Struthio camelus: one gene and its partners. The protein of the gene in region 1 purifies or fractionates together with the protein of each later gene. This does not show direct contact. Links are inferred from orthologs where the notes say so. Each region holds a gene or a part of one and is shown on either strand. Other genes may lie near its edges.

Region 1 (6,920 bases):
TGAGGAGGTTATGGCCCTCTTAGCTGCTCTGGTAAATCCCTATCTGTTGCAAATTTTACAGGTTGTCCACCTGCTTCTCAGTTGTCCTCTTCAGTCACACAGTAAAATTCCCTTCCACAAGTAGATAATGCCCATATAGGAAATTATACTTAATATTTCAGTAGCTGAGTAAAAGAGAGATGGCAGTACATTAAAAGCTGGTTCACAACCACTCCCTGATTTTCAAACTAGCCACAATTACATGTTAAAACAGCCCGGGAGCTGTTTCAGCAGGCAACAGGCTCCCCGAAGAACCGTCTCTGAGCATAGCCAGAATACAGTTTGTTCTGGTCACGCTTCCTCCAGCCTGCCTGTTCCAACATGCCCCTGCAAAAGAGGTTTCAGGGAGAGCAGCGTGCGAGCTAGTGGAACTGCCTCGTGCCTGCTTCAAACTCCCTTATTCTCTTCTCACTCCTCGAGTGGTATAAAGTGAATGTGGAGTGAAGCACAGAACCTATCCTTCAATCTCAGAAGCTGTTAAGAGTATTTCTAATAAAGGTAGATACGCGTGTGTGAGAGCCCCAGAGGACACCTTCTTGCTTCTTATGCTCATTTTATATCGTTTCTGAATCAAAACCCAATTTTTGTCGTCTTGAAAGTAAAGTTTAAATTCTGTTCCCATTCACTGATGGGTCCTGTGAATGAACAAGGTATATAAAGATTATTTTTCAATCACTGTCAAGATGTTCACGTAGTAGTAAAAGGTTAAGAAATGCAAGAGAGCCACAAAGCATACGGTTGTTTTCTTCAAGTAATCTCAAATAGATGAACTATGGAGGGCTTGTGTTTTTGCAGATTATACATCTTTACTTTTCAGTACGAGCAAAATGCAATGAGTGAAGTCCCTAAACCTGTACTATGTAACAAACATGCAAAGATAATGATTGTTGCAAAGTAAAGAAAAATTTATATCACTAATGAACACATAACCTTATCCTGCCTAGAGGTGGCTTCCAAGACATCAGACATTTTGTAAACCAGAGAACGGATCCAGACCATGTAAAATTGGGACGGTCCTGTCTTTTTCCTGTCTGTTAATTTTTCCATTATGAGAGTGTCCAAAACTCTCTGAAATAAAGGATTACTGTCTATGGGTTCAGAAAGGCATATTTTCACAGAATGGTTCATTCTGACAGGTAACCCCAGCAGCAGTCATACAAATTGTTCTGTAAATTGTAATGACCTTGAGCTTGGAAATTAATTCTACGTCTTGAGACCAAATGTTTATTCATTTTCAGTTCTAGTGTTCTCAGTGGTGCTGCGGCCCAGAAGGCAGATGGGTGATTTAGCTGGCCTCCTCCTTACTTGTGATACTGTAAGCAAGTGAGACCCATTTTGTTTTAGCATTTGGCTAAACAGGTAAATCTATTTACCCCTTTGCCACTAACTCGCTATATAAGCGCGAGCAAATCTCGCAGCTCTTCCTCCTCTTCCCCTTATTCAAATTTACCCAGCTGATCACCTGTGATATGACTATAGTAATGGAGTGAATTTTAGCCAATGAATGTGTACAGAAAATCCTGGAAGCCTTGCTGAACTAAGATTACAGCATGAATTCTGAGTTTAGAGGTGAGATTTGAGTACTTTCATTTTTCTGGCTGAAAAACAGTATGGAACAGTCCCCATGCTTTTCTAGCATGAACAGTGACAAAGAAATGGATATGGTCCCCAACAGAAATCCGCACTGTTATTACCCTGATGCAGTGTTGACAGCTCTAAGACTGTTTCTTCACGCATAGTCTTGCCCTGGGGCTTCTTTATGTTGCAAAATGTGCTGGGCCAAGAACCAGGAAAATAGAAAAAGATGACTTTAAACTTCCCCACACTTAAAATTATAGTTGTATTTATTTATATACAAAAAAAATGTATTTAACTTCTGTGTTTCACTTTGTTCACATACTCAGGTTATTCTCCAAATATTGTTATTCTCCAAACCATTTGCTATCAGGAACCAGGCCCTTCCAGAAAACAAATATGCAGCAAGTCAATGACACTAAGTAGCAATCAGTAATTTGGGCATTTTGGTTTTAGCATAATTAGTTGCTGAGAATTTTTGTGTTGGTTTTAGAGGTGCTGAGCAACTGTTTCCTCAAATGAAATTGGGATCATCTACAGGGGCTCAGCATCACTGTACTTCAGGCATCTCAATTTAGGCAGCCAAAAACTGGGTCAGGGCAGCGTTCCAAAATTTTAGTGGTGAGCCTCCAAAATTCAAGACACTCGGGGAATGCATGTTGGGGAATAGTAAGAAAATGTTTTAAAAAGAGGGGGGGGGGGGGGAAAGGTTATTTTATTTTGTGCCCAATATTGCTACTTCAAATTTTGGTGTTGTCAGTATGGAATAAAAAGTACTATTTGTTTAAATCGCTGCAAAAGCCAAGCCAGTTGCCTCTGAGCTTCAGACACTGTCTGAACCTATAGGTTCATAACTTGCCGCAAGGCGATTTGTACGGCTGGCTGTTTCAAATCCACAGGCATGGAAAAGCGTTTGGATCGCCGGCTTTCGAGGAGTCTCCCCACTGGGCCGCGCTGGAACTGGGAGCAGGGGAATGCGGATTGGCAAGAACCTGCACGTCTGGGAGCGGGTGAGCAGCCCCGGAGGCTTCCCAACCTCAGGTTCACCGTCAGCTCGTCTGGGAGGCTGCGGAGGCTCGAGGAAGCTGGGAAGCCTGCCTCAGCTTCAAATGTCAAAACTTGGGAGCTGGGGCCTCCCAAAACTTTTTACTCTCTGATTCCCGGACGGCTGTGAAGCAGCTGGGGCTGAGGCGCCTAAAGGAAGGAGGCAGCGGTGACTCTGCAGGTGGCCTCCGAGCCCCTTGCTCCTCGCCGGGCTGCCCGTGCACCCTGCTCACGCCGCGCCAGGGTGGTATATCCAAGGGTTGGAGCGCTTTAGGAACTATGGTTGGTATTTTTATGGTCTTTAGGGCCTTTCGGCGTGAAGGGGAGGATGGTAGAGGTGGGGCAGCGTGAAAGCCCACTTTGTCCAGCGATGACAAGCGAGGAACTGGAAAGTTACCTGGATCCCGTCCTGCCTTAGTCAAGGCTGAACCATCTCTACAAAACAGGGCCATCTGAACAAGCTGCCATTCTCTGACAAAAATGTTCCGTCTGAGACTTTCTGACCAGGGCTGGTAGTAAACAGCTCCGGAGCGTAATTTGTGCCTGATACAGGGCAAAAATTAATCGGGTACCGGGCCCTCGAGGTGGGAGGATGAGGGAATGGAACAGTAAATTAAATAGGTTGAAACAAAAAAACTGCAGATCGTCGTCTCCGCCTGGCTGCTTTGACCAAGCGAGGATCAGCCATCTCCATGTGAAAACACACCTTTTTTCACAGAGAAAAACAGCCGTCGGGGTCCGCCGGGGGCCTTACCCATCCCCGCCGGCCCGAGGGCACTCTGTCCCTTCCCCTGGCCCGGCAGCGCTTTGTCACTCGTGTTTGTTCGTCCCTCCCGCGTGGGGGGAGACGAGGGTCAGGGTTAGGGGGCCGGGTGCGGGGAGGGGAAGCGGCCGCCGCGGGCTGAGGGGAGGCGGCGGCCCTGACGGGAGCTTCCCGCCTCGCCGGGCGCGGGAAGGCCGCGAGCGCGCAGCCGCTGAGGGGGGCGCCGGCGCTGAGGGGGCAGAGCTTCCCCCCCCCCCCCGCGCCTCCGCCCTTCCCGCGCGGGAAGAAAGAGAAGGAAAAGAAGGAAAAGAAAGAGGAGCGCGGCGGCGGGCGCCCCCGGCAGCGCGTGCGGCGCTGCGGCTGCCGCCGGGGGGGGCGGCGGCGGCGGCGGGGAGGGAGAGCGGGAGCGGAGTTGCCGGCCGCCCGCCCGCCCTCCGCCGGCGGCGTGAGGGAGCGTGTTTGGGAGGGAAGGAGGGGGTGGAAGCCGGGCTGGGGCGGCCAGCAGGCAATTTGCATGAAAGGCAGACTGGGAATGAGCTGGAGCGGGCGCCTCCGCGCGCACGCAGAGCGGGGCAGCAGGGGGAGGAGGGAGCCGCCGCCGCCGCCGCCGGGGAAACGCGGCGAACTCCGGGCAAAGTTTGGTGCCGAGGGCCCGAGGCGCTGAGGCAGCGCCGCGCCGCGCCGGGCCGGGCCGGGCCAGGCCTCGTGGTGCCCGCGGGGCGGCGCGGAGCCGCCGGGTTTCGTGTGGAGGCAGCGGCCGGGCCGGGTCGGGTCGGGCCGGGCCGGGCAAGCCAGCATGTCCTCCATCCTGCCGTTCACCCCTCCCATCGTCAAGCGGTTGCTGGGCTGGAAGAAAGGGGAGCAGAACGGGCAGGAGGAGAAATGGTGCGAGAAGGCGGTGAAGAGCCTGGTGAAGAAGCTGAAGAAGACGGGGCAGCTGGACGAGCTGGAGAAGGCGATCACCACGCAGAACATCAACACCAAGTGCATCACCATCCCCAGGTCGGTGGCGGCGGCGGCGGCCCCGGGGCGCGGCCCGGCGGCGGCTCGGGGGCCGTTGGGGAGCGGCTGCCCCCGGCAGGGGAGAAAATGTCTCCAGCCGAGTCTGGAAGAGGGGAAGTGGGGGGAGGAGGGAAAAAAAACCCCAAACCCCAAAGTTGGCAGCGCTCTGGGCTGCCCTCGCGCGTACCCTGGGTGCTCTCGTGGTCAAAAGTTGCAGCGTGTTCTGCGGCAGCGCTGCGCCGAGTTTTGCCTCTGTGTGTGTGTGTGTGTTTGCGCGTGTGTTTTGGTTTTGGTCAGGAAAATGGTTTTATTTGGGTTGCTCGCCTTATTCCTGCGAGCTGGCCAGCTACTGCGCTGCAGATGTGATTTAGAGCCCTGCTGCGCGTTTGTTTTCACATTGCTTTTTAAATCGCGAGAGCAAATGGCATAGCTGAAGGGGATTACTTGCACTGCAAAAAAAAAAAATTATGTAAGGATGGATGTAACAAGTTGATTTTTTTTTTTAATTTTTGTTTTAACATAGATTTTTATTTTTAGCCTTGATCCCGAAATCAATCCATAATATGCATCCTTCCTTATGATATACATAGCATCTAAGAAAAAATGTTCAAGTAACTTTCAAATAGCTGGCCCCAAGCAGTGCTTTTTTTTGCTGCAGGTCTGTCGATTTCTGTGAGCTGAGCCAGATGACTGCTGAGTCTGTTACTTGTCGTTGTTTTGGGGGGGGGGGTGTTTTTAACAAAGGCCAAAGTTCAGCCCAAATATTTGAATCCTGCATAATTGTATGCTTCTGTGTGAGAAGATATCTCTGTGAGTATGTGTATTCATGCCTCTCTCTCGCCCAAACAAATGTATGCTTTCTTGGTTGTCAGAATGATTTAATATGCAGTAGCTAATACAAAGCAGCATCTGTTGCATGAAAAAGTGAAGCAAGTAGCTCAGAAACGTGGATATTTGGAACTCCTAACATTTTTTCCAGCAACTAGAGTTTTAAAGAAAAAGTAAAGCCTCCTCATCTTTTCGGTCCTGAGCGATCATGCCTAAGATTTCTGCCAGTAATCCGGATTGAGGACTCTGCCTTTGTTAGAGTTACTCTGGCTCCTCGTAGTTGAAGCAGAGATCAAAACCTACAAAGCTGCCACCTGGTACAAATGCCCTTAAACCTCTATTTTGAAATTCTTGGTAAGCAGGGTACTTTCCTCATAGAAAATGCCCTGTGTAAACCACTTCCCTGAAATATTTGCCTTTTCATAAGAAAAAATTTACTTGAGGAGTCCTACGGTTGAAGTGACTTGTATATTATTGTGCTTCAGGTTTCCGTGGAGAGTTGCTGATGCTGACCTGTTAGGAAGCAGAGTGTGAGGCTCCCCGACGTTTGCTTTACTAGGAACAAGGTGTTTTAGCTTAAGGAAGGCATTTGGAGCAAAAAGACGGGTGGAGTAGGAAGCTTTAATTTAGAGAAATAATTTTAAAGCTGGAAAATAAGTAACACCACAAGCAGATGTCACAAGTTATAAATATTATCACCTCCAGAGATTACTCTGGCTATTGTCTACTGTGCAGAAGAGAATGCTGGTTTCTCCCAAATTTTGCTCTGTTAAAGGGAAACAGTACAAAAACTAAAACATTTCATGTTCACTTATGACACAGAGTCTGATCCTTCAGGTCTTAATCCTTGGTACTGGGGACCAAGGATTCATATGCTCACTACTGTCAGCATGTTTTGACGGTAGTTCCTTGTGCCTTGGTACTAGTCTTTAAACATGACGCTTCCTATGCACTTTTACTGTTATTTTATATAGATATTGCAGAGATCCTTAAAACAGTAGTTAGGTTACCCTGTGCTGGACCGTCTGCAGCAGCATAGTATTAGGTTAATGTCTAGATATCTGAGATTGGGGAAGGGAGTGGAAATGTGAAACAGCTGGTCTTGAAGCCAATGGCAGAGCTGTAATTGTAACCAGGCCTTGTGACTTTTAAGTGCAATGTCTTCTCCACTGGACTGCGCTGTTTGTCCTAACGCTTCTGTGACTGATTATCATGTCACTTGAAATTAGTGTTTGCAAGACAATTTTAGTATGGCTTTGGTATTTTCTTTTAAAATAATTCTGCATGCGTTGCTGTGTTATTTAGGCAAATTTAAGTACATTGAGGGGACAAAAGGGAAAAACCATCGTTACGGATAAGATCGTGTTGTGCATTGTCTGTAATACATCAGTAGACTAAATTACAGTGGAGCTATGCCAGGGATGACTCTGGCCCAGCAGGAGCAGGGTTAGTACAAAATTAGCCGTTGTACCCATGAGATGAGGCAAGGTTTGAGATGTAAAAGTGCTTAAGCTTTTCAGAAATGTTGCCCTTGGGAATAAGGGCTTCACAGCAGATGAGCTGAAACTTCAAATTCCTCTAGTGACCAAGTAGGGTTAAGTGTGTTACTTTCCGAGTGCTCAGTTTGTAAGATGATGTGACCAACAGACGTTCAGGTCCCAGGTTTTCT
Region 2 (7,172 bases), on another chromosome or scaffold:
CTTCTAAGCTAAATATTTACTTGTTATCGGAAGGAAATTTACAAGAGTAAGTGAACTTACTTTGGACCGAGTTCTTTTCTGATTTTTCTCACTAAATTTCTCCTTCATTTCCTCCAAGAGATGCTTCAGTTCCCTCTCCTCCGATGTTCCTAAGTATTTTTGGTTAATATGAAGGTAGCAATGCCATTTGGCTGATTCAAAGCCCCAGTGACAGGTCCTTTTATCAGGGGATCTATGTGAATGCATCACAAACGTCTGGGGCGAAAACATTCCATAGCACTCCAAACACTGGATACAGGGATCATCCGGCTGCAGGTAGAACTGAGGTGCAAACAAACCCTGGCATTTGCCCAAGCACTCATGCTCTACTTCAAAGGCACTGCCAGACTCTTTCAACTGGGCCAATGTGCTCTTCGCAGGGAGAAAGCTGCCATTTTGAGGAAAAGTGCGAGGACGTAATAAAGCATTGCATAGTCTCTGAGCGTCAGTCAGCGTAATTAGCCCACAGGATGGAGCATTAAATGGAAGAATTCCCAAAACCTTCAGAATGTGAAGCTGGTCGGACGTGCACCTTGAGCAATATATATACAGCTCGTCACACACTGTATTAATCTGTTGCAATGAAAAGTCTCGGAGAACTGAATTCAAAACTTGCGGCAGGCAAAGTCTCTTTTCTCCTCCAACTTTAAAACAAGAAATAGATTCCCCCTCCAATATAGTCTGAGTGAGTTCTGTAGAGCTGTCTGGAGGAATGAGCAGTGGACCAGAAAGTATTTGCGGTGATGGAAGAGGCAAGAAGACAGTGGGTGACATACTTTCCTGGGAATAACGAGCTGAAAAAGCTGCTGGCCCTCCCAGTGAACTCTGGCTGCTTAAGTGGAACTGTGCCAGCGTGTGTTTCAAACCTGGATTTAAATTCAAAGGCTCAGATATTGAAGCACTGTTTGGCTTGGCGTTTTCCCCATCAGCCTCCACAGGAGTTTCATCATAGTCATCCAAGTTTTCCTTCTTTATTGTTGGCAGTCTATTTATTACAACTCGTACTTTGCTATTTACATGCATTTCTGTCATTACTTTTTTTATTGGAGGACTCTCATCCTCGTGGACCCCACTCCTTTTTTGGTCTGAACCTAGACCGAGATGGAAGTTTGTTTGCGGGCTTTCCATTGCTAAACGCTAGAACTTTTAAGCAAGCAAATCTAGAGTGTGCATTTTCCTGCTTGCTAATACAAAAATCAATTTTAAATGATCTTGACTACTTCACACACGCCAAGCTTTGCACTCCTTTCAGTAAGTTAATCCTTCAGCCTCCAGGAGCAAAAAACTGTAGCCCCTTTTGCATGTAATACCACAGAATTAAGAATGGAGAGGGTAAACAACATTTTCTTTTAGGTTTAAAAGTATTTGTCCAATTTTCTTTTATACAAAACACATTGCAATATGCATATACAACGATTTTCTTTGTAGCCTACTCAGTAGTTTGCACAGTAGTTTCGTATAGTCTTTCAGTAAAAAATGATGAGTTGATGCAAGAGCATCCATCCTCGGTCACTTTTTTCCCCTTTAAAAAGCATACTGGCTTTTCAAACAAGCCTCTTGTTTAAATACCAAAACAGAAAAATGCCCACAAGTCTCAGTCTGAAGAGCGTCGAACTCAGTGTAACTGATCCAAATAAAGTTTGGTTGTGTGAAAATTTTATTCGCCGCTTCTCCTTCAGTTGTCAGGGATCAAACACAAGCTTAAGGCCTTTATTTATTGGGCAGCCAAGTTTACGATTCCACCGCCACCACCACCACTAGAGTTACTATGGCAGTTCACCAATAAATCCCCAAATTAAAGGCTGATCCAGATTGCTGGCAAAAACTAAACGTCCCTAGAGAGTCACCTTTAGCACAGACGTCCCCGGTGTGTGCCTGGCTTTTCCCACCCCGAGTTATTAGCAATACAAATAAGATCCGGGCCATCAGCTAAATGCACATCTTGTGCTAATACACAGCTCTGTCAACCTCTCCTGATAACCTGTGAAAAGAGAGAGAGAGGTCATTAATAACCATTAATTCCCGAGACTAGAGTCTTCAAATACGAGCTCAACATATCAAACAAGGGACACGCTTCCTAATTAATTACAAAACATCAACGCACAGAGAGCTTTCGTTTAAAAACCAGAAGCCCCATCATAAGCCCCTGGCAGATGGGCGAAGCTGGCAGCGGCACCAGCCCAGCGCCCGCACAGCGCTGCGTGTAACGTGCGGCAAATCCCACAGGCGGGAGCGCGGCGAAGCGGAGAAGAGGAGAGGGAGGACGAGGTTTCTCTTTCACAGGGTGTGTGTGGGGGGGGGGGGGAACACTCGGGGGAGAAACGCCAACGCGGGCGGGCTACGAGCCCCCTCCCGCCGGGGCCGGGGGCCGGGGCCCCCCCTGCCGCCGCCGCCGCCGCCGCCGCCGCCGCCGCCGCCTCCCCCCCCTTCCCGGAAGGGCCCGGGCCGCCGCGCCCGCCGCTCCGTGACTCACCGGCGCTTCCCCGGCGCCGGCCGGCCCCGCGCCCGGCTCTCCCCTCGCCGCCGGCCTCAGCGCCCCGCGGCTGCCCGCTCCGCTCCGCCAGCTGCGGCTCCTCCCGCCGCCGCCCTCTCCGCGCCCGCCGCCCCCTCCGGCGCTAAATTTACCCCCCCCACCCCCGCGGGAGGAGCGGCTTCCCCCGCGCGGCGCCCCCACAGACGCCGCCTCCCCTCAGGCACGGCGCGCCCCTCCCCCGCCGACTCGGCCCCGGCCCCCGCCGCCGGGCCGAGCCCCCTCCCCCCCGGTGACTCCCCGGCTCCTCACCCGGCACCGCGGGGGCCCCGGCGCCCCACGAGCGGAACAGGAGCCGCGTTCGCGCCGCCCACCCGTGACCTCACTGCGGAGACGGAGACGGCGGCGGAGACGGCGGAGACGGCGGCGGCGGCGCGCGGGCACGAACCCGCCGGCGGCGCGCGCCGCCCCCGCCCCCGCCCCCCGCCGGCCTCAGCCGCCGCCGCCGCCGCCGCAGCCCCGCCCACTGTCTGGGGCCGCGGCGGGAGCGGGCGCCCCTCCCCCTCCCCCCCCCGCCTCACGCGCGCGCCAGCCGCTCCCTCAGACAACCCCGGGCGGCCCCTCCCCCCGCCCGCGCGGAGCCGCCGCCGCCGCCCTCACACAGCCCGCGCCGCGCCGCGCCGCGCCGGGGAGGGAGGGGAAACCTTCCTCCAGCCCTCGGAGAGCCGCGCCAGGGGAAGCCCTCCCCGCCCTGCCGAGGCCTCCCAGCCCGGCGCCGCCGCCGGCTCGGGCGGTTGGCGCGGCGCCGCGGGCTGCCCTCACACGCCCTGTCGCCGCGCAAAGCGGGAGGAGGAGGAGGAGGAGGAGGAGGAGGAGGAGGAGGAGGAGCGGCGCTGCCCGCCCGGCGGCTCGGCTCGCCCCGCCGCGGCTGCCCCGTCTCGGCCGTTTCCTGACGGCTCCCCGGGGCTGGTGGCGGCGGGGCCGGGGCTCGCCCCGGGTGCGCGGGCGGCGGCGCCATGTCAGGGCGGGCGGCGGGGACAGGGGAAAAAACGAGGGCGCAAACGGCGGGGAAAACGCGAGGCGCCTTAAAAAAAAAAAAAAATCCCACCTCTGCGGAACAGGAGGGCGGACAGGGCAGCAGGGAAACGCGATGGTGCCCGCCGGGGCTGCCCGCAGCGCCGCGGGCTCCTCACGAGGCACCGGGGCCTTCAGAAGAACGGCTGAAACGTGGGGGAGCGGGTCAAAAGATGGTTTTGGAGCCCCAGTCAGCCGGAAGCTGTGCGGTCACGGCCAAGAGGGGTTGACGTATGGAGCGTCTCCCACTTCGGTCCTGTCGCTGGCAGGGGAAGAAGCTGCTTTCCAGAGCCCGCTTAATCTCTGTACAGCTCGCGTACGGGGGACGGGTTTCTGCCGTACACAGCTGTTGTTACATGTTCCTTGTAAAGACATTTTGCCGCTTCAGCTGAAGGGCAAAATCCAGTTTGCCGTTGCCTTTAATCCTTATTTTGATGCAAAGGGAACGTAAAAAAAAAAGAAAAAAAAACATTAAAATGGCACAACTGCACAGCCGCTGCTGCAAGGTGTTTAACAGGACGAGGAGCGGGACCGGCCCAGCGCTGCCCGGCCGCGTTCGGGTTCAAGCTGAAGGCTAACAGCAAACAAAACCCCTCTTCTTGCTGAAGAGCATATTTAGCTTGATACACTTCAACTCTTGACTTTGGTTAGAGGTCCTCCGTGCAGGCATGGTTCACCCCTGTAAAGCTGCTTCTCGAATCACCTTTCAACTCTTAAAATACCAGGTCACTTGTGCTACCCACAACGTTTTCTTCTAATGACAATTGGCAACATATAATTTTTTTTAGATTTCTAAAAAAAAAAACAACCTCTCTAAATTACATAGCGCTTAATGTGTTTGCGCATAAGCAATTTGTGACTTTTCTCTTGTCAGCCCCGTGATCGGAGGTGTTATTTTATTTCCAAGCTTTGCCCTTGATGTTACTCTTCAGTGGTCACACATCTGTAGGCAGAAACCATCTTCCCATATGTTTGCACAGCAGCTAATGCAGTCATTAGGACGCGTGGTGCTTTATATTGCAAAAATAATAAATTGCTGACAGTTTAAACAGCAGAAGAGGGTTTAGAATAACTGTATAAACAGCTGCGTCTGGGCTTTTAACAATAACTCTGTGATCACAAAGACGATAATGGTTATAGTTATTTGCTAAAGCCTAGAGAAAACCACTTGACCTTTCTATTATTAAAGAATTCAGGTAGAGATGAAAGAATCAAAAATCCGAAATAGAGCACGACCTCAATTTTTACATTCGGCAGAAGGTGTCATCACAAGGATCGTTGTTTTACTGTTGCTGTTATTGTGGCACCCTCAGGCAGAAGTAAGGCTTTCCTACCAATGAAGAGGTACCACAAAGAAGCCTGAAGCATGTTGAAGCATGTGAACGTCCCAATTACTTGAAATTAAGAGCACTTTCTCAGCTCTTTGAAATAGACACACTTCACAGACACTTCGATGCCTATAGAAAAACGTAACTTGTCTTTTCATAGACTACAGAGAGAGCAGAGAAGGAAAAGGAAGGCATAAATTCCTGCCACTCCATATAGGCCAAAGTAAAGATGAAAGCTTTCCAAAAATTGGAACCAAGATTTAAACTTTGGGAAGAACACAAGTATTGGAGAAACTCATTGTTTGTCCCTTCAGTACTCCGCTTTTTGCCCTTTTCCATCCTCCTTGTGTTTCTCTGCTTTTATTATAAGCCACTAAAGATCGACTCAGCCATTCCTCAGGGAGCATTTAACATATTAACTACTACCATTATGGGGAGTACATTTTTCCTTACTTTAATTTACCCTACTATTTTCTAGCTCTTTTTGCCAGACTTCATCTCTGTAACTCCTCTATAGCAGCGGAATCTCAGCTGAAATCTGTACATATAAGAGCATGAGCAGAGGCTCATGCATGACTGAGTTTTATGGGCCGAAAGATAACCGAGACTGATGCCTCTGTACTGTCCAACCACTTGAGATTCACTGCAAATAGGATTCGTGTACTTAATTTTAAGTAAGTTTCACGGATCCAGGACCATAAACCTATTCTTGGTTCATCTTTGCACCTGAGTGAGTTTGATCTAATCCAGCAACACCCTGTGGTTAATAAACACACATCATGCCACCTCAATATGCAGTTTTATATCTAGTCTTTTTTACTTTTCAAAGTAGGGAAGTGTTAGAATTCATTTAAACATGGTTATAACATTGTGCAGTAATTTGCAGTACCCTGGTACTTCTCTAATGCTCTTCTCTAGCCTGCAGCAAAACAGAATTACGTAGGACTCTGCAAGTCTTGTCTCACCTTTTGGCTGCTATGTCAAACACAAGCTTTTGCAGCCTTAGAAAGAAAAAAGTTTTAAAAAGAGGAGGATTTTTTCATGTAATGATTCTGTGGAAGGATTTTATGAAGACTGGTATTTTTCTCCATTTATAGTTAAGCAAACAGTGCAAGATGCAGAGCAGCTGCAGGAGTACAATTGCTACCCTTACATGAAAACGAGAACTGCTTTTTTACAGGGCAAGAAGGGTGTGTATTACTGAGACGGAGGGAAAGTGATGGAGAAAATGCAAGAGTGCATTTATGTTTGATCTCAATTGCCTTTATTCTTTATTCTTCCACAGTAAAATGTCTGAGGCTAGGACAGCAAATAATTTTATGGAAAAGTACACCCATTCCGGAAGAGTACTAATACTCTGTACTTACTTATTAAGTAGATACGGGGCTTAATAGCCACAACATTTTAGTAGAATTAAAAAGGCTTCTGAATCTACCAGTTTGGGGGGCTGATCTTGAAAAACACTGACCAGTGATTCTATTATCTAAACATTCTGGACATTCCTATCTCTTTTCTACCCTGTAAGAGTCTAGGATTTGATCAAAAATTTCTCTCCAAATAGCCAACCATTGAAATGCACTGTGTCATATTTCAATTGTATATAACTCAAGAGCATGGAAGATTCATAGCATCGTACCTGCAATGATCGGAGGACATAAGCAAGACAACATTTGTAGGTGGATATTACACCTGCTGAGGGCACGTAAGCTTAGGAATTAGGTGTCATTGTTTAATTTGGGTTTAAAAATTCTGCACATTTTTCATTTCAAGCTGCAAATTTTGGTAACTACTGTGGTGAAACAGAAGTGTTGTTACAGCGCTACATCATCAGGCAGCATAAGACAACGTTCGTAGGTAGAAGATAGTCTACTAAACCGTGAACTCTACCTAGAGCCTTGACTGTCGACTATGAAAAGCACTTTGGTACCAGAGGTACGACGTAACTAAACTAAAATCTTACCTACAGATCTTTTTAGCACTGAAGAAATCGCACTAACAGAGCCTGGGAGGGATTTTACTTTTATTACTAACCTCTCTGGATTTTCAAGAGGTGCTCAAGTTTTTTGGAATCTTATTAAATTAACATTTAAGGTTGTCTTAAAATGTAACTCACATTTAGCACTTTCAGCTGCTTTGTTTAAACACCTTAGCTTTAAAACCAGTGCAACCCACACAGAATTTGTCTTTACTCTTCTAGGTCAGCTCCCAGAGAGAGTTATTTTAAAAGATAAAAACATCCTATTTTTACTTGACAACTAAGA
Region 3 (8,005 bases), on another chromosome or scaffold:
ACTCTTGCTCTGTGTCCATCTGCCAGTCAGTCCCCTTAATAACTCTGAAACCCATTAGCCAGTTTTACCCAAATTGATCGGAAAGGTTAAAGTCTCAAAGCATGAAGTTGGCTGGCTTATAGATGACATTTCTTACTAATCAGCACACAGGTTGCTTTGAATCAGCCACAAAACCTGCTGCCCTTTGCCCAGTCTGTGTTGAAAGGAGGTAGTAAGGAACTCTGGGAAGAACAAGAAATACAGAGGGGGAGCAGCTATCTGGTGGGATATATGGGAGGAGTAGACAGGGTTATTGCAGTGGACACAAACCCGTTGGAGACCAGGCTCCAGGTGGCTGACAGAACAACCTGCTATACACTCTTTGTGTGAAGTCAATGTAGACAATGCGGCCATTGTTTAAAGTAGCTGCAATATAACGTTGTCTTAGCGAACAGCAGTATACTTTACAACAGATTTCTCAAACGATCAGGGAAAGCTTCAGGTCCTCCGCCCCCAGTGCAACTTCGACTCTGCCTTCAGCTGCACACCTACGGTTCTGCAATAGGGTATTTGTATAAGAGATGTAAAGCCAGAAGTGTGTCCTGCACTTCTCCAGCTACCAGCCCAGTGAGAGTGTAGGTTATTGGAGCATGAAGGAGTGATTTTATCTGGGTTACTGCTATAAGCTAGGTACACTATTATCTTAGGAAAAGCTGACTCTCTGAATCAACAAAATGGAAGAATCAGAATGAAAACTGAGCCAGCAATAGCCTTCTGTAGTCGAGCATAAAGCTTAAAAGAGTTTAGCTCAACAAAAAAATCACTTATGCAGATTCCCACTCAGAGTTCACATGGTGTCATATGAACATTACTTTCCCCCAAGCAGTAGGCAATAGGCCTCACATTTCGTGGGGCTTGAACAGTCCACGAGCAGCCAAGCTCACCCACGGGCATGACTCAGAGCTGCAAAGGAGCTGTGACCCCACCAGATCCATATTATAAGCCACTGACCTCTGTCTTCCATCCAAGAAGCTGGTAGCCCCATAACCTTCTGCGTAAGAAGGTGGCTACATGATCCATCGTGATGGGTACACATGTTCATAACATAAACGTGAGTAGGGATTAAAAGAGTTGCAGAAGACGCAGTACCGCCCTGAAAAGCTCGCAGTCTAAGTAGGCACAATAAAGGAGTGAGGCTTTCAAATGGCCTCAGGGCTAGCCTAACTTTATTCCTGTTGAAGTCAGCGATAAAACTCCCATAAACTGAGCCTTTTTGAAAATCCCACCCTTGGGGCATTGAAGTACTTAAAGGAAGAGACTGGAAATCATGCAGGTTTTAGTTTGAGTTTTCCTATTTATTTCGGTCAGCCCGGTCATGGAACAGTGATCAGAAGGGTTCATCTGTCTATTTTTCTCGCACGAATTTGGCTAAGTAAAATGTGTAAGAACAACTGAACTGTGGTTTTAATTCTGCCTCTAAACTGCAATATCACAGGCAGGAAATGCTGTGTGGAGCTATGAAGAGCTGGTGCTCTAACTTTTTTGATAAAGCCCGTACAGCTGATATACCAGTGAATTTTGAAAAAGGAAGATAATCTTGTAGTAAAGGCCCGGGGCTGGCACTCAGGAGATCTAGTTTTCTTTCTCATTTCTGACACAGGCTTCCTGTATGACCTCAGCACAGTCACGTAATCTCCCAGTGCCTCAGTCCATCATCCTTTTAATAGGGTTAGTACATACTTATTTCCCTTCTCCCGCCCTGTGCCTGTCTTACTTGCACTGCAATTCTGCCAGGGAGTGGGGCATTTCACGGCCTTCACCTAGTACAATGAGACCTAACAGCAATGCCTATACTGTAATGCAATGCCAATTAAATAAATAAATGAAGATGATAACATAATTTAGAGCTAGATTTTCATTTTGTAATCCAGCTCAGGGTCAAAGTGCTACACTTCCCTGGGACCTCAGGACCTAAAGAAACCAAGGAGGTTTTTGCACTGGTGAAAATCTGCCCCAAGCGTTTGAAGGTTTTGGGAAAGGGTTGAGCATCTTCTCATCATGAGCAGCCTTGTCTCGTGATGGCTCATGAGTCTTCAATGCTGCTGCAGTACCACTACCCTACCGATTGCTAAATAGTACAGATAAATGCCAGTATCACAACTGCACTGTAGCTGATGTCTTTCTGAGAGACCGAAACCCCTTTCCGGTTTCATAAGGGGCCATGGTATGACAAAAGCCATGGCACGACACACACCGTCGTGACCTAAAGTGGGGTCATGCACTGGAATGTGTTAGTTGTAATGAAAATTGCTTCCATTACCTGAACCTGCATTTATTCTGATTAATTCGGTGAACCTTCCCTATTTAGATAACTGAGGATTAATCGTATGCATGCTGAAATCCTGTCCCTTGTAATAAAATCATGCTGAACTATTCCTAATGAGTGCCACTTGAATTTGAAACTTAACTAGATCCTGAGGGCCTTAGTCCTTATTTAGCAGGACGTGTAAGGCATGCAGGATCAGGGCCTTACTGTTTTCTAATCAAACCGAATGACTTTCAAATCTCATTGCTCATCTATAATGCTAAATAAATCAGGGATAATTTAATTTGTCTGCTGAGCTAATTCTATCCAGAAATGCTTTAGAAGCACACCTACTTCTCAACACATGCAGTTGACTCTGTCTGGTATCTGAGACAACACTATTTTTGTACTAAATCTAATCCATAGTTTGTTTGGGTCAATACAAAGTGGGGCAAGAACTGATACCTTGACATTGCTTCATAAGGTATTTATAACTGCATCTATATTAACAGCTCTATCTTCTTTGGCTTTGTGGGTCACCCCTTTATCCAACCCATAATTAACTACATCTTCATCTGAGCTACTTTGGAGGCTTTCTGTTACAGCACGTACTCTAAGGAGGAAGTACAGGAGGATTATAGTTGTGTGTACATGCCTGAACATGCTCCTCTGTCACTCAACAGGCCAAAGAGAAGTTTTTTTTTGAAAAATGGCTAGATTCAGTTTGACTCCAAATTTAAAGTTCACCAACACAACTTTTACAAAGGTTTACGACCAATGAAAAACAATTTAGAAAAGAAACAGGGCAACATTCCTCCGCTGTGACTGTCAGCCAAAGCTGTTTTTATAGTAAAACAAAAAAAGCAATAGCTGCAGTTGTGTTACTAGTGCTACTGGCTAGTCAGGTGAATCCAACAAAAACAGAAAGTAAGGAAAAGTGAAATTATTCAGCTTATTAGGTTTGAAATTATTCATTGCTTAAATTCGGGTGAGTGCAGAGAGGACGGACTAGGGTAACCCTAGATACAGCGTTACTGTTCGATTTTTATTACTTTCTGTAGCCATGTGCCGGGGCAGCCCGGCGCGCTCTCCTCCCTCCGTGGGCCCTCCGCTCACACCGGCTGAGGAAACCGAGGTCGGGGGCTGACGGGGAGCACAGCAGCGGGTCGGGGCGGGGGAGAGGACAGGCAAGCGGGTGCGTGTTTTCCCCGCTCGTTTCCAGCAGTCCCACCAGGCTCCGGGCAGCGGCGGGCGGCCGGCGGAGCCGTGGTCTGCGCGGCCAGCCCGCCCCGTCGGGGCGGCCCCGGCCAGCCCTGCCCGCCGCCGCCGCCTCCGCCTGGCCCGGCCCGGCCCGGCCCCCTCGGCCTTGTGGGCGGGCCGTGCCGTGCCGTGCGGTTAGGTTGAGGCTGGCTGCGTGTGTCTATAACTTTGTGTTGCTGCCGGTGGTTGTTAGGAGGAGGGATGTGGAGGTCGGCGGCGAGCGGGGCGCCAGGCGGCTGGGGCGGGCTGCGGCGGCAGCGCGGCTGCTCGGCGGCGGCGGCGGCGGGCTGGCCTGTGCGCGGCGGCTGGCCGAGGCGGCTGGCGGCGGGCTGCGCTCGCCTCCTTCGCCTTTAAAGGGAAGGCTCGGCGGAGCTGAAGGCGCAGGAGCAGCAGGAACCATGCAGCAGCGGCAGCGGCAATAGCAATAGCAGCAGCAGCAGCGCTGCCTTTTCCTCCCGTGAATGTGGATCGCGCTTTCTGCCGGCGTTGGAGGTGGCTGTTGATCCTTCCCCCGGCCTCCTCCCCCTCCCGGCGCGGCTCTCGCTGCCTCTCCTGCCCGTGCTTTTTAAATGACTTGTGTGAAGGGGGGGAAAAACTGTCAAGATGGCAGCAGCAGGAGCAAGGAGGTTATGAATGTGGTGTTGATGCTGGAACAAAACCTATTCTCTTTGGCAGCCCTAGGGAGGGCTTAAAGCTTCTGGACCTGTTGGAAGACTGGTGATTTGATTTGCTCGTGTTGTGTTTGCTTTTTCCCTGCGAGAAGAAGGATTTTTTTTGTTTTGTTTTTAAGCCGACCAACCCCCAAGGTTGCTTTCCCTCCTTTCTCCCCCCACCCCCTCGTTCCGTCGGCTTTGAGATTTTGGGGGGTTGCTTGTGTGTGGCTTGGGGGATACGGCAAAGTGACAGGCTTATGCTAGTATGCAACTGGATGCCTGCTAAGACTTCGGCTCCCTTTAGGGCGTTTTGCAGAAGGAAAAAGTCTTCGGTGTAATCTGAAGGACCCCTCTCCCCCCCACCTCCTGCCGAGGGAGGGTGGAAAAGGAACACCAGAAAAAAAAAAAAAAGACAAAACCCAAAGGAAGATATCTGCGGAAGCGACAAGGAGAGAGCTCGGAGGTGCCGGGGCGGGGGGTGCTCTCCCGGCTGGATACAGCCGCGGTTGCCGCTGGAGCTACTTGTGCCTCTGCATGGAGTGAAACATAAACAAACACACGCACCGCGGGAGCGGCAGCGGCGGTGGTCGCGCCGCGCTCCCCCAGCGCGGAGGGCAGCGCAGCGGGCGCCGCCCGACCCCGCGCTGCCCGCTCGGCGCCGCCGCTCCGGCTTTTTATTCCGGTTTTTTTTTTTTTTTTGGGCCTTCCCCCACGCCCTCCGGCGGGCGCCCCGCCCGCGGGGAGCGGGAGCCCGGGCTGCGCGGCGCTACGCGGCGCAGCGCGGCGGCGGCGGCGGCCGGCCCTTAGCGGAGAGCGGCATGCCCGCCCGCCGGCCCCGCGCCTGCTAGGCTCCCGGCGGCTCCGAGCAGGCGGCCGCCCGCCCCGTCGCAGCGCCCCAGCCGCCTCCGGAGAGGCCGACATGGCAGAGGCGTCGCCCCCGGGCCCGCTCTCGCCCCTCGACGTGGAGCTGGACCCCGAGTTCGAGCCCCAGAGCCGGCCCCGCTCCTGCACCTGGCCGCTGCAGAGGCCCGAGCTGCAGGCCAGCCCGGCCAAGCCCGCCGGCGAGCCGCCCGCCGACGCCGCCTCCATGATCCCCGAGGAGGAGGACGACGACGACGAGGGGGGCGGCTCGGCCATGGCCGTCGGCAGCGCGGCCCCCGGAGGCGGCGAGGCGGCGGCTGCCGCGGCGGCAGCGGCGGCGGCGGCGGCCACGGCTTCGGCCGTGCCCGAGGAGGCGGCGCGGCTGCTGGCCCCGCTGCCCGCCGGCGGCCCCGAGGGGCCGAGCCTCTCGCCCGGGGGGGCGGCGGGCGGCGGCGGGGGGCTGAGCGGCGGCCCGGCGGCGGCGGCGGCGCCGAGGAAGTGCTCGTCGCGGCGCAACGCGTGGGGCAACCTCTCCTACGCCGACCTCATCACCCGCGCCATCGAGAGCTCCCCGGAGAAGCGGCTCACCCTCTCGCAGATCTACGACTGGATGGTCCGCTGCGTGCCCTACTTCAAGGACAAGGGCGACAGCAACAGCTCGGCCGGCTGGAAGGTGAGACGGGGCGGCCCCGAGGGGGCCCGCGGGGATGCGGCCGGGCCGCGGGTTTTCCTGGCGGCGGCCGGTGGCTGCGTTGTCACCTTTCCCCGATTTATTTTTGGATTTCTTTTTTTTTTTTTAAAGGGGGAAGGAGGGGGGAAAGAAAGTTTAGGCGCTTTCCTGTTGCTGCGTGCAAGCGGTGAGGGCTGACCCCGGTGGTGGGGGAGAGGCTGAAATGCCTGCGTGGAGCAGGCTGCTCTGGTGCCCAAGGGAATCAGCAGGGGAGAAAAGGAGGCGGGGGGAAAAAAAAGAGAAAAAAGAGAGATGCTTGTAATGGCCCCTTTTAAGTTATAGGCACCTTTCGTGTCACTCGTCATAGAAACGGGCAGAGTTGCTTTCATGCCGTACCGGTCCTAGTCTCAAAGCTCAAGTAGAGAAAGACTTATTTTCCTCCAAGAAAAAACCCCTGTGATCCCCCACGTGTTCCCGAAAGGCAACGGAGGAAAAAGTGGATGTTGCCGTTTCTTTATGAAGTTAATGAAACGTCGGAGTTAGGGGCTGCTGGGGCGCGGGAGCGCTTGCGTTGCGTTTTCCTGCGGCGTCGGTGCACGCGAGAGCGTCGGCCCCGCTGGATCCCGTATATCCGAGCGTTTTCTGCTCGGCGCTGTGACACTTGGCAGGGGAGGGGGGAAAAAAAATCGGGTTTGGGGGCTTGTTTACTTAGTGCGTGCAAAAAGCACGTTGTGAGCGGTCAGGGTTTTTTGCTTTGCAAGCTCACAGTGTGTTAAGGCCTAGCAGGAGGAGCTGGTGCTGCGCGGAAAGCCCGTCTGAAGGGATTTACGGAACTGCCCCCCCCCGGTTGTGAGCGTCTCTTCATTAGGACGCTGGAATGTCACTGGCGTGCAGCTACACGGCAACGTAGGTGCTGCTTGAGGCAGATGCTGTTTGCGGAGGGAAATCCTGGCACGGTTCAGTGGCCGCCGAGGGCCCGTGTTAGTGGCATCCTAGACTGAGTTTCTGAAAGGGTGACTGACTGAAGGCGAATTTGCGGGGAAGTTTTATGGCGTTATGGAGAAATTAAATCCCCCCTTGCATCTCTCTCTCTTTGCGTCGGGGGATAAACGTGTATGAATCAGTCAGAAACATTGTAGGGAGGAAAAATTTCTGGGTGTTTTCGTATTAGCAACTCTGTCTCGTCTTTTGGTTTCTGAACAGGGCTTGCTGTTAGGAATTGAAGTGCAGACGTATGGCTTTTCCCTCCCAAAGGGAGCATTACAGAGGCAGCGGTTCCCTGCTATTTGTCTCAGGCTGGCGAAGATATAAACAGAAAGTTTACCAGCGGCGTCACTAATTCGAGACCGGGCTCTTGAAAGCACGGATCTGCTTTAAAGCTTTTGCGTCTGTATTAAATGTTGAATTTTGACGCGACTTCACAAGTGCGACACGGACGACACGGACTGTGATAAAGGGTTAAATCCTACGCTGACAGCCCTTGCCTTGGCAGGTTGTTTGGTACTAGGTGCACGAGCAGTGGCTTTACATTGTCAGCTGTTACGAGAAATGTAGCCTTCTCATCTGCTGCCTCGAGTTTTCGGTAAATTATAGCTCCCAGCAGAAGACAGGCTTCTGAAGCAAAAGCACTGGTACTGTTTCAGCTCCGTTGGGTGGCACAACTCCCATTCGCCTGGGCAGAAGCAGGATATGGGCCATAACGCAAAGTGCTTACATTGATTAGTATGCTTAATACGGTCACAATTTTTTCTGACAATTTATACTGTTAATTTGATATTGATTCCTTTTCGGAGCAGCATTAACCGGTACTTGGAGCTAATTAAAATGCTAAAAACTTGGATCCCTTGAGACTTCTCTGATATAATTTAGTTCAGAAGTTTCTCACAAGCCTTTAGGATGACCTTTATCAGAGTATGCAAGCGCACTGGAAACAGAACATTCCTCCTGCTTTTAATGACTGTGAGCTGTCTTTGAAAGTTATGGTAACATGTTTAACCATGTTAAGGGAGTGTGTATTTGTGCGTGGGTGGTGGGGGCACGCTGAAGGGGGCAAAGGAGAGGTCAGGAGCTAATAATTTGCCAGGCATCCAAAACTGAAGGATTTAATTCCTGGCAGGGCTGGAGTTTCTTTTAATGTATGCACGTGCATTCAGAAGAGGAATATTTCAGTTTCTTGGCTGGGACACAAGTTAGATTTTGAGACTCCATCTTAGTTTCCCCATGCTAAAACACATTATATGTTATTATCATCACAGGTAATGAATACGACTCTTCAGG
Region 4 (7,460 bases), on another chromosome or scaffold:
TGAGTTTGTTTACACAATGACATTTTCTTCATTTTTTTCCCTCTGCTTTTGACTTACAAAAACTGGGTAATTGGGTTGTGAGGTTCCCTATGACAGTCAAAGGCTTAGTGGTAAGGTCTGCAATCCACATTATTAATTTCACATGTAAACTCTGTGGGAAGCTGACAAGATGCTAGAGAGTATAATGAACAAAACTTTTGTGCTGTTAATACTTCCAGTGATTCATAAAATATTGATAGCCTGAATGTGTAGTGGCCTCAAGGGAGGCCACTTAACCCACAAGGAATGTGCTAACGAAAGAATACAATAGGATTTTATACTTATAAATTCCCTGGAGGAGGGGGAAGCACTCTGCTTTTCACAATTGCATTGAAAGGCAAGGACAAAACCAGGTGGGAGCACGGGAGGAAAGTCTTGTCGTGAACAAAAGGAGAGTGAGACCAGTGGTTCATCACACTCGCTCCAAATAGGCCTGGGGTTGGGGGCGAGGGGGACAGATGCATCCCCAGCTGCACAGCTGGCTGCGAGGGCCCTCCCGGAGAGACAGCGTTCAGCATTAGGCAGCTATTAGTTGAATTATTATTCAACTTATGTGGCTGAGATCGGTCCCAAAAACCTCAAATGACAACTAAATAATACCTGGGTGTCAGGCACACCCTAAACCACATTTTAATTTCCTCTTTTGTAACTCGAGATGCCTCTTTTGTAACTGGATATCAAGAATACAGCCATCTGCTTTGCTGGAATAACTTGCATGCTTTTACGTTTAAGCTTGTCTAGAGTTCAGAGTGAATTTGGGCACTAAATGTGCTGTCCCCTGGAAGCACCAAAACCGAACATGAATCTCCTCAGGGCTATCAGCAGCTTGAGACAGGCCTGAGAGTCACAAGACCTGGAACATGTGTCTCATCCAGCTCCAGGCTTGCTTAAATTAACGTATATGAGTAGTCTTCCTGAAGTGGTGGGGCTACTTACCTGAGTTTGCAAGCTAAGTAGCACAATTAGGAAGTAGGCAGCTGTACTTAGCTCCTTCAATGGCTTGCTAAAAGCCAGTTTCAGAATAAGCTGGACTTGTGCAAGCCCATTGACGTGCCCTGAAGGACAGAAACTAAAAAATGTGGCAAGGTTTTTCAGATAATGCTTTGAGTTTAATTTTAATTTAATATTCTCATATTGAATATTTAATGGTGAAAATAAGCACTGGAGTGATTCTGTGCTCAGACTGAGTCATAAATTATAATTGAAATACTTTCAAAATTAGTCAACAGATAAAGTCAGCTTAGATATGAAACTCAGAATGACATGTAGAGTCATATGTCAAAACAGATTTTTTTTTCTGCTTCCCTAATAGAGTGTAATTTGTCATAGCCAAATTATATTCACCAAAGCCATCACTTGTGAACATGGCCCAAGTTATACCCCAGTGTTTCCAGCAACCAAACTATCTTTTCCTTCCTTATTCTTGCCAAAATATTGAACGTAACATTTTAGCTGTCACTGGAACAGTTTAAGGCAAGGTCATGTTAAGCTTTTTTTTTTTTTAAAACTTAATATTTTAGAACAAATGATAACAATAGATTTAAATGAGACTTACAGTTTAAAAAACCAAAAAGGCAAGCTTACCTAACAGCAGTTAAAGAGTGATTTCTTGTTAAGTTGTTCCTTTTTGCAATAGTAGGCAGTTGTTCTGCGTTTGTAGTGAAATCGGTGTTTATAAATGTTACTATAGTAACTGTATCCTTAGCCACAGGCTGGTAGATTTATTGTTCTGATTATCTAGTGAGCAGCAAGGTAAAAAGGAAAAAAAAAAAAAAAAAAGACTGTCAGACATGTTGTAAGAGAGCCACAATCTCACAGGAGGAGATGGCAAAAACTGCAGTAAAAATATTTTTCCCTTCATACTTACCTGCATCCTACTGTATGCCATGCAACAGCCTTTTTTCCACTAGACCCTCATAAACAAACAATGAAATGCAAGCAGAGATCCAAAGTACCAGGCATGTAACAAAAGTCAGTATCAGCTTCATAATGACTTTCATCCTTATTTTATTTCAGTGGAAGTAACAATTTCTCAGGCTTTTAGGACCTCGAAAAACAAGGTGAAAGAATCAGGCTGAAAGAAGGTTTTCTGCCTAGGCCGAGGTCCTGTGAACACTTGCACTCGTAGTTTCATACATAAACACACACTGGGCGGTCGTAAGTGGCGCTGGAACTAGGTGTGCAAAAACAGTAAATGTATTTTAAGAATTGAAATGTATAATTTGTTTCTGTGTGGATGCAAAGTTGATACTGGATTAGATAACATTAGTTTATCATTTAGAGGAGAAGCTAAAACATTTGCCAGCTTTGATGGTTTTCTTTTTTTTTTATTTAAAAAAGATGTTAGGAGACTGCCCGTCAAGGCCATAGCTCCCAGCAAAGCTGGAAGACAATGGCCAGCCATGTTAAGTGGCACACGGAGAGGAATTTGTTGTTACAGATGGGACTATTCACTTCACTTGCAACTGTAGCAGAGCAGTGGGAAAGCTGAAAGCGAAACCAAGCCATTTCATTGCCAAGTCTGGGAGGAAAGTGGAAGAGCGATTGTCATAAAGAAATGCAAGCAAATACATTTAGAAAGTTATTCTGATGACCTCAGGTGGATGTTATCATGCAGCATAATATTTGTTATCCTCAAATATTAGTTGAACACTCTCAAAGGAAAAAAAAATAAAGGTATAATTTAAGAGTGAGGGGTTTTTTTTATTATTATTCGCTCCGAAGGCAGGGTCTGACGTGCCGTCGGCGGCTTCCCACCGCCCCTCCGGGAAGCCGGGCGGGCAGTGCCTCCTCCACCTTAACGGTCTGTCTTAAAACACTGCGGATGGCAGCAGCCATCTTAAGGGTCACTGTCACCCCCCCCGCCCCCGCGAGCCACATCCCTGCTCGGGGATCCCTCCCCGGCGCCGGCCGCGGCGGGGGAGCCCCCCGGCAGCGCCGCCGCTGCCCGCTCCGCGCCGCTCCGCCCGAGGGCGGCCCAGAGGCTTTGCGGCACTTCCCAGGGCGCGGGGGGAGGCGCGCAGGGCTCCGCGCAGGGCTCCGGCCCTCGGGAGCGCGGCACCGACCAGCTCGGACCCGCCTCCCCGCTCGTCACCTTTTGTTCCTTTTAAAACCTCAGCCCCCCCCCCCCCCCCAAAAAAAAGCCCACCCCTCCTCCTCCTTTGCAAATAAAAACGTTGAAACCTTTCAATCTGAAAGGGAACTGGATGCGTCCTTCTGATTTTTTTCGCACTGAATGAAGATGTCAGCTCACCGTTGAGTCTCAGTGGTTGAAAATATCCAGGGAGAAAACGGGGCTGAGGGAAGGGGAGATCAGAGGGAAAATGCGTCCTCAGTCCTCCCCCTGCTCTTTACTCCCCACCTTGCAGAAGCCTCTCATCCTTTGCGCTTGTGTAAGCCAGCAAGGCCCTGCGTTGCTGCGAGAGCTCTTTCATGCACTGGGATTCCCCTCAACGTTAATATTACTGCTTCTGGTTCACACATCAAAGCCCTGTAAAACACACACAAGCGCGGGCAGCCTTAGCTCCAACCTTTTAAACCGTGGTACTGCGTTAGCGAATTGTCATTTGTGGTTTCTCACCGTTCAACCGCGTTTTTACATATGTGCAGCAGGACATAACTTCCTCAGAACTGAAAGGCTTATTTCCAGGCACAGAGTGCAGTTGCTGTGGCAGAATCATTTACTTAATTTGAGCTTCCAATTAAAAGGTAGCTACTTAAAGACATAGGTTGACCTGCTGTTAACACCTGTTCCTGGACAAACAAGAAGCCGCGACGTGACTCCCCCCCGGAACTGAGCAGAGTCTTTATAGTCTCACATCTTTAAAGCCAAGGAGTATTTTTATGTTCTTTGACTTCGAAATAATCTTTAAAAGCAAACAAATAAGAAACCGGAACGGTTTAAAAACAGCTGAGAACTGCAGGGTGTGGAAACGCAATAGTTAAGTCGACAAACTAGTGGCACCGTGAGGGGAAAAACGGGGCTTTTAAAGGACTTGAAGCCAAGGGGGGCCGAAGAGTGCGGCTTCTTCCGCGCCTCTCGGCGGCCCCTTTCCTCCTCCGGTTCCCGGCCGCGCAAGGCCCGCACCGGCGGGGTCCCCCGCGCGCAGCCGAAGCCGCCGCCGCCTTACGCGGGGGCGCACGGCCGCCGCCCGCCCATGCCGGCGCGCGCGCTCCCCCGCGGCTCGGCGCTGCGCTGCAGGGCGGGAGGCGGGGGCCGGCTCCGCGCTCCCCCCGCCCGGCGGGGCAGGAGCCGCCCGCGGAGCGGCCAGTCCCCTCCCTCCCCGGGGGGAGCAGCCGGCGGCGGCGGCGAAGGGGAGGGTCTAGCGCTCGGCGCACCGCGCCGGCAGAGCCGCACGGGCGGGCGGCTCCCGCCGCGCCGCGCCGCTCCGCGCCGCTCCGCGGGGATGGCGGAGCCTAGCGGCGCCGGGGCCGCGGCGGCGGGCGGTGGCGGGCCGCAGCAGGGCTCGCCGGCCGCCGGCGGGGTGGCCGCCGGGGGGCCGGCCCGCACCGCCGCCGAGAGCCCCGGGGGCCCCGGCTCGGCGCGCACCGCCGGCAAAAAGGCGCAGCTGCGCGCCGCTCCGCGGGCCAAGAAGCTGGAGAAGCTGGGCGTCTACTCCGCTTGCAAGGTACGGCGCCGGCCGCTGGCGCCCACCCGCCCACGGAGGGTGGGGATTGAGCCGGCTGGGGAGGGAAGGGAGGGCGGCAGGCGGTGGGGAAGGGCCGGGCGGGGGAGGCGGCGGCGGCCCAGCTGCAGCTCCGCGCTGCCGGGAACCGCGGAAGTGGTGAGGCTGGTGGTTCCTCCTCCGCCCGCAGCCTTCCAGCTAGGAGCGGCAAGAATAAGCCCGAAAGACGCCGAAAACAAGCCCTCGCGTGCAGCACCTCCCTCCTCCTCCTCCTCCTCCTCCCCCTGCCCCTGTCGATACGGGCAGTAGCGGACGTGCCCGTCCCGCTGCCTCCGCCCCAGCCCGGCCCCCGCCGGGGTCGCTCGCACTTGCACCGCTGGGTTGACGGCGCCGCGGCAGCTGCTCGCCGCGTAAACACCGCGCGGGGCCGTTGCGCCCCCTCGCCCCGGGGGAGGGGGAGGCGCGGGGCTGGGCCGGCCTCGCGTCCCGGCGGGGGCTGCCGCCATCCAAATGTCGCTGCTCCGAGCTGGCAGCGTCGCCAGCAGCTCTGGCAGAGGAGCAACGAGGCGCGGCCTCTCCTCTTGGGAAAGTTGTCCCCACTGGTCACGTCGGTGCGGGCACGGAGGCCTCTGTCGTCTCCCGCACTGGGCAGGCCTTCTCCGCTCACCTTAGTGACACTGCCCTGGGTTTCCCTCCCTGCATCTTTCCCTCTGCCTGGAATTTTCTTCCGGAGGGGAGAAGCAGGACTTGACTGTTGTTGGAGATTGAGAGAGCCTGGTCAGAGTTGCAGCCTTGCAGTCTTTGGAGGTCTGTGACCTCCAAACTGGTGTTGTCACCTGTGCACGTGCGGCTGGACTGCACTGCACACGGTGCAGGGCCAGTGCCCTCTAAGCATGGGCTGTCACCTGCGTTACTGCTTTCGTGACTATTCTTGGATGCGTGATGAGTCTGACACGTTCAGGATGGCAGTAGTGTCATGAAATCTTCTAGTAATGCTTTTGGCATAGCAAATAAGTGAGCAGTTTGTGAGAAAGTGTATTATTTACTTTCTTTGCTCCTTTACATCAGAACCCTCAGAAGGGCAAATGTTAAGTGAAAGGCCAACCTAAATGCTTAAATACGTGAGGAAGCGTTATAATATGGCTCTGTAGTCCTGTCTGGTGATGGGAAGTGCTTTAACTGTACTCTGAAAGCATGTTGCAATACTGTAAGTCATGTGAGGTCAAGTCAAGGAAACCACGCACACACTTCAATTTCTTAGCTGTTTACAAACATGCAGGAATCTCCTCTCGGGCTTTGGCATGTATGTGTGACGTTGCAAGAGACCACCACTGTTGGGAACTTAACAGAGCAGTTAGTGTGTTTGAAACCTGAGGTCCCCATAGAAGGATGGGTGACATGGTTCAAAACTTTCTGGTAGTGATTCCCCTCTGCCCCCCCCGGTATTTTAATGTTACCAAATTTTGCTATGCTGTTAAACAATGTTAGACAGGGAGGATGTGAGGTTTTCATGAGCTGTTGAGTGGTGTGTGTGTGTGTTTATGATTCTACCTTTTCCTTCCCTAGTCTGATCTTTTTTCTTTCCTTTATGGATCTCCAGGGGTGGGCACAGAGCTGTGGCAGCTTGTGTTGCAGGTGCTGTGTGTGTGTGGTAGTGTTACCAGCCTTCAGCTCCTGTCCTTCTGCGAGAAGTCAGGGCCGTGTCACTGCTGGCACTGCAGTGAGCTGAGAGTGCGCGACCTGTGGCTAGGGACACCCTGGAGCCTCTTTGTCCTTCCCTGCCAGGAGCCTGGCACAACCACAGAACTAAACACTACCCTGGGTTCAGATTAAAATGCAAAAGCAACCTTTGCTACCTCGCTTTTCTTCAGTAATTTAATAGCAGGCAGCGTTCTTTCAGGTTGCAAAACATAAGCAAGTAGACAAACAGGAAGCTTCTTGTAAACTAATCAAGCGGTTTTTCCTATGGGATAAAGGGGGAAGGATGGAGGAGAGCGGAAGAATGTGTTATTTTTCCTTTTGAACAACTGGCAGGTGCTCCACAACTACAGTACTTGGCTTGTAACGTTAGTGGTTTGCAAGAAGCTGTAGCAGTGCAGGGAATAACTTTGAACTTTCTTACTTTGGGCTGAAACTGATTCTATTTATTTTGTGCGTTTCTGTTTGTGTGTGAGAGAGAGACAGAAATCAAACACTCGCACCGCCTCCAATCTCAAAATAATGTAACTTATGTGTTTATTCAAGGGGCAGCCATGCGTGAGTCTTGTGTAAATATACAAAGAGCTGTTCAGGTTGCAGTGGAGAAACTATGCAGTGCCATCCTTAATGGTGGTGTCCTTCTCCCGCGGGAAACAGGAGAGGAAAACGCTGCTGCTTCAGCACATAAAGTTTAGTAGAAACTTAACCTCTGAGACGCTGAGAGGAGCAGAGGCAGAGAGCGTGTTCGTTAGGGCTGAAGAGAAGCAGCGCCAGGAGATGGGAAGAGGGCTGACACTGAGCGGCAGGTGGCTGGGCCTCGCTGGTGGCAGCAGCAATGTGCTGGGCCAGAGATAAGACTGTCCCGAGCAGGACCGCCGTGTGAGCGGGCTGCTCTGGCCCCAGGAGGGAACGAGCCCCCTTGTCACTCTAGCGATCCCTCTGCTTCAGCCTTTGGGAAGTGCAGGCAAAAACTGCAGGCAGAGACATCCTCGATGTGCATATAAACTCAGCAGAGCTAGACTGAGCATTTTGGAATAAGTTTAGGGAGCTGCTGCCCCAGCCTAGGACTATGGAAGAGTTTTGTTGTCATTGTTTTGG

What was found.
Region 2: the proteins of SMAD3 (region 1) and SKIL purify together in Homo sapiens (affinity purification with western blotting; 6 studies listed by BioGRID). This does not show direct contact. The link is inferred for Struthio camelus from reciprocal best matches to the Homo sapiens genes SMAD3 and SKIL.
Region 3: the proteins of SMAD3 (region 1) and FOXO3 purify together in Homo sapiens (affinity purification with western blotting; 3 studies listed by BioGRID and IntAct, with this or other methods). This does not show direct contact. The link is inferred for Struthio camelus from reciprocal best matches to the Homo sapiens genes SMAD3 and FOXO3.
Region 4: the proteins of SMAD3 (region 1) and KAT2B purify together in Homo sapiens (affinity purification with western blotting, with the first as the bait; 3 studies listed by BioGRID). This does not show direct contact. The link is inferred for Struthio camelus from reciprocal best matches to the Homo sapiens genes SMAD3 and KAT2B.

Annotation. Positions count from the first base shown.
Region 1 is NC_090953.1:2,692,054-2,698,973, reverse strand, and holds the start of SMAD3 (mothers against decapentaplegic homolog 3), read left to right. Parts: upstream 1-3,919; 5' UTR 3,920-4,217; coding exon 4,218-4,423; intron 4,424-6,920. UniProt on the Homo sapiens protein: Receptor-regulated SMAD (R-SMAD) that is an intracellular signal transducer and transcriptional modulator activated by TGF-beta (transforming growth factor) and activin type 1 receptor kinases.
Region 2 is NC_090950.1:27,918,420-27,925,591, forward strand, and holds the start of SKIL (ski-like protein), read right to left. Parts: upstream 3,002-7,172; 5' UTR 2,822-3,001; intron 2,566-2,821; exon of another isoform or gene 2,513-2,565; intron 2,021-2,512; 5' UTR 1,168-2,020; coding exon 61-1,167; intron 1-60. UniProt on the Homo sapiens protein: May have regulatory role in cell division or differentiation in response to extracellular signals.
Region 3 is NC_090944.1:59,590,521-59,598,525, forward strand, and holds the start of FOXO3 (forkhead box protein O3), read left to right. Parts: upstream 1-4,987; 5' UTR 4,988-5,116; coding exon 5,117-5,731; intron 5,732-8,005. UniProt on the Homo sapiens protein: Transcriptional activator that recognizes and binds to the DNA sequence 5'-[AG]TAAA[TC]A-3' and regulates different processes, such as apoptosis and autophagy.
Region 4 is NC_090943.1:42,676,250-42,683,709, forward strand, and holds the start of KAT2B (histone acetyltransferase KAT2B), read left to right. Parts: upstream 1-4,445; coding exon 4,446-4,667; intron 4,668-7,460. UniProt on the Homo sapiens protein: Functions as a histone acetyltransferase (HAT) to promote transcriptional activation. Has significant histone acetyltransferase activity with core histones (H3 and H4), and also with nucleosome core particles.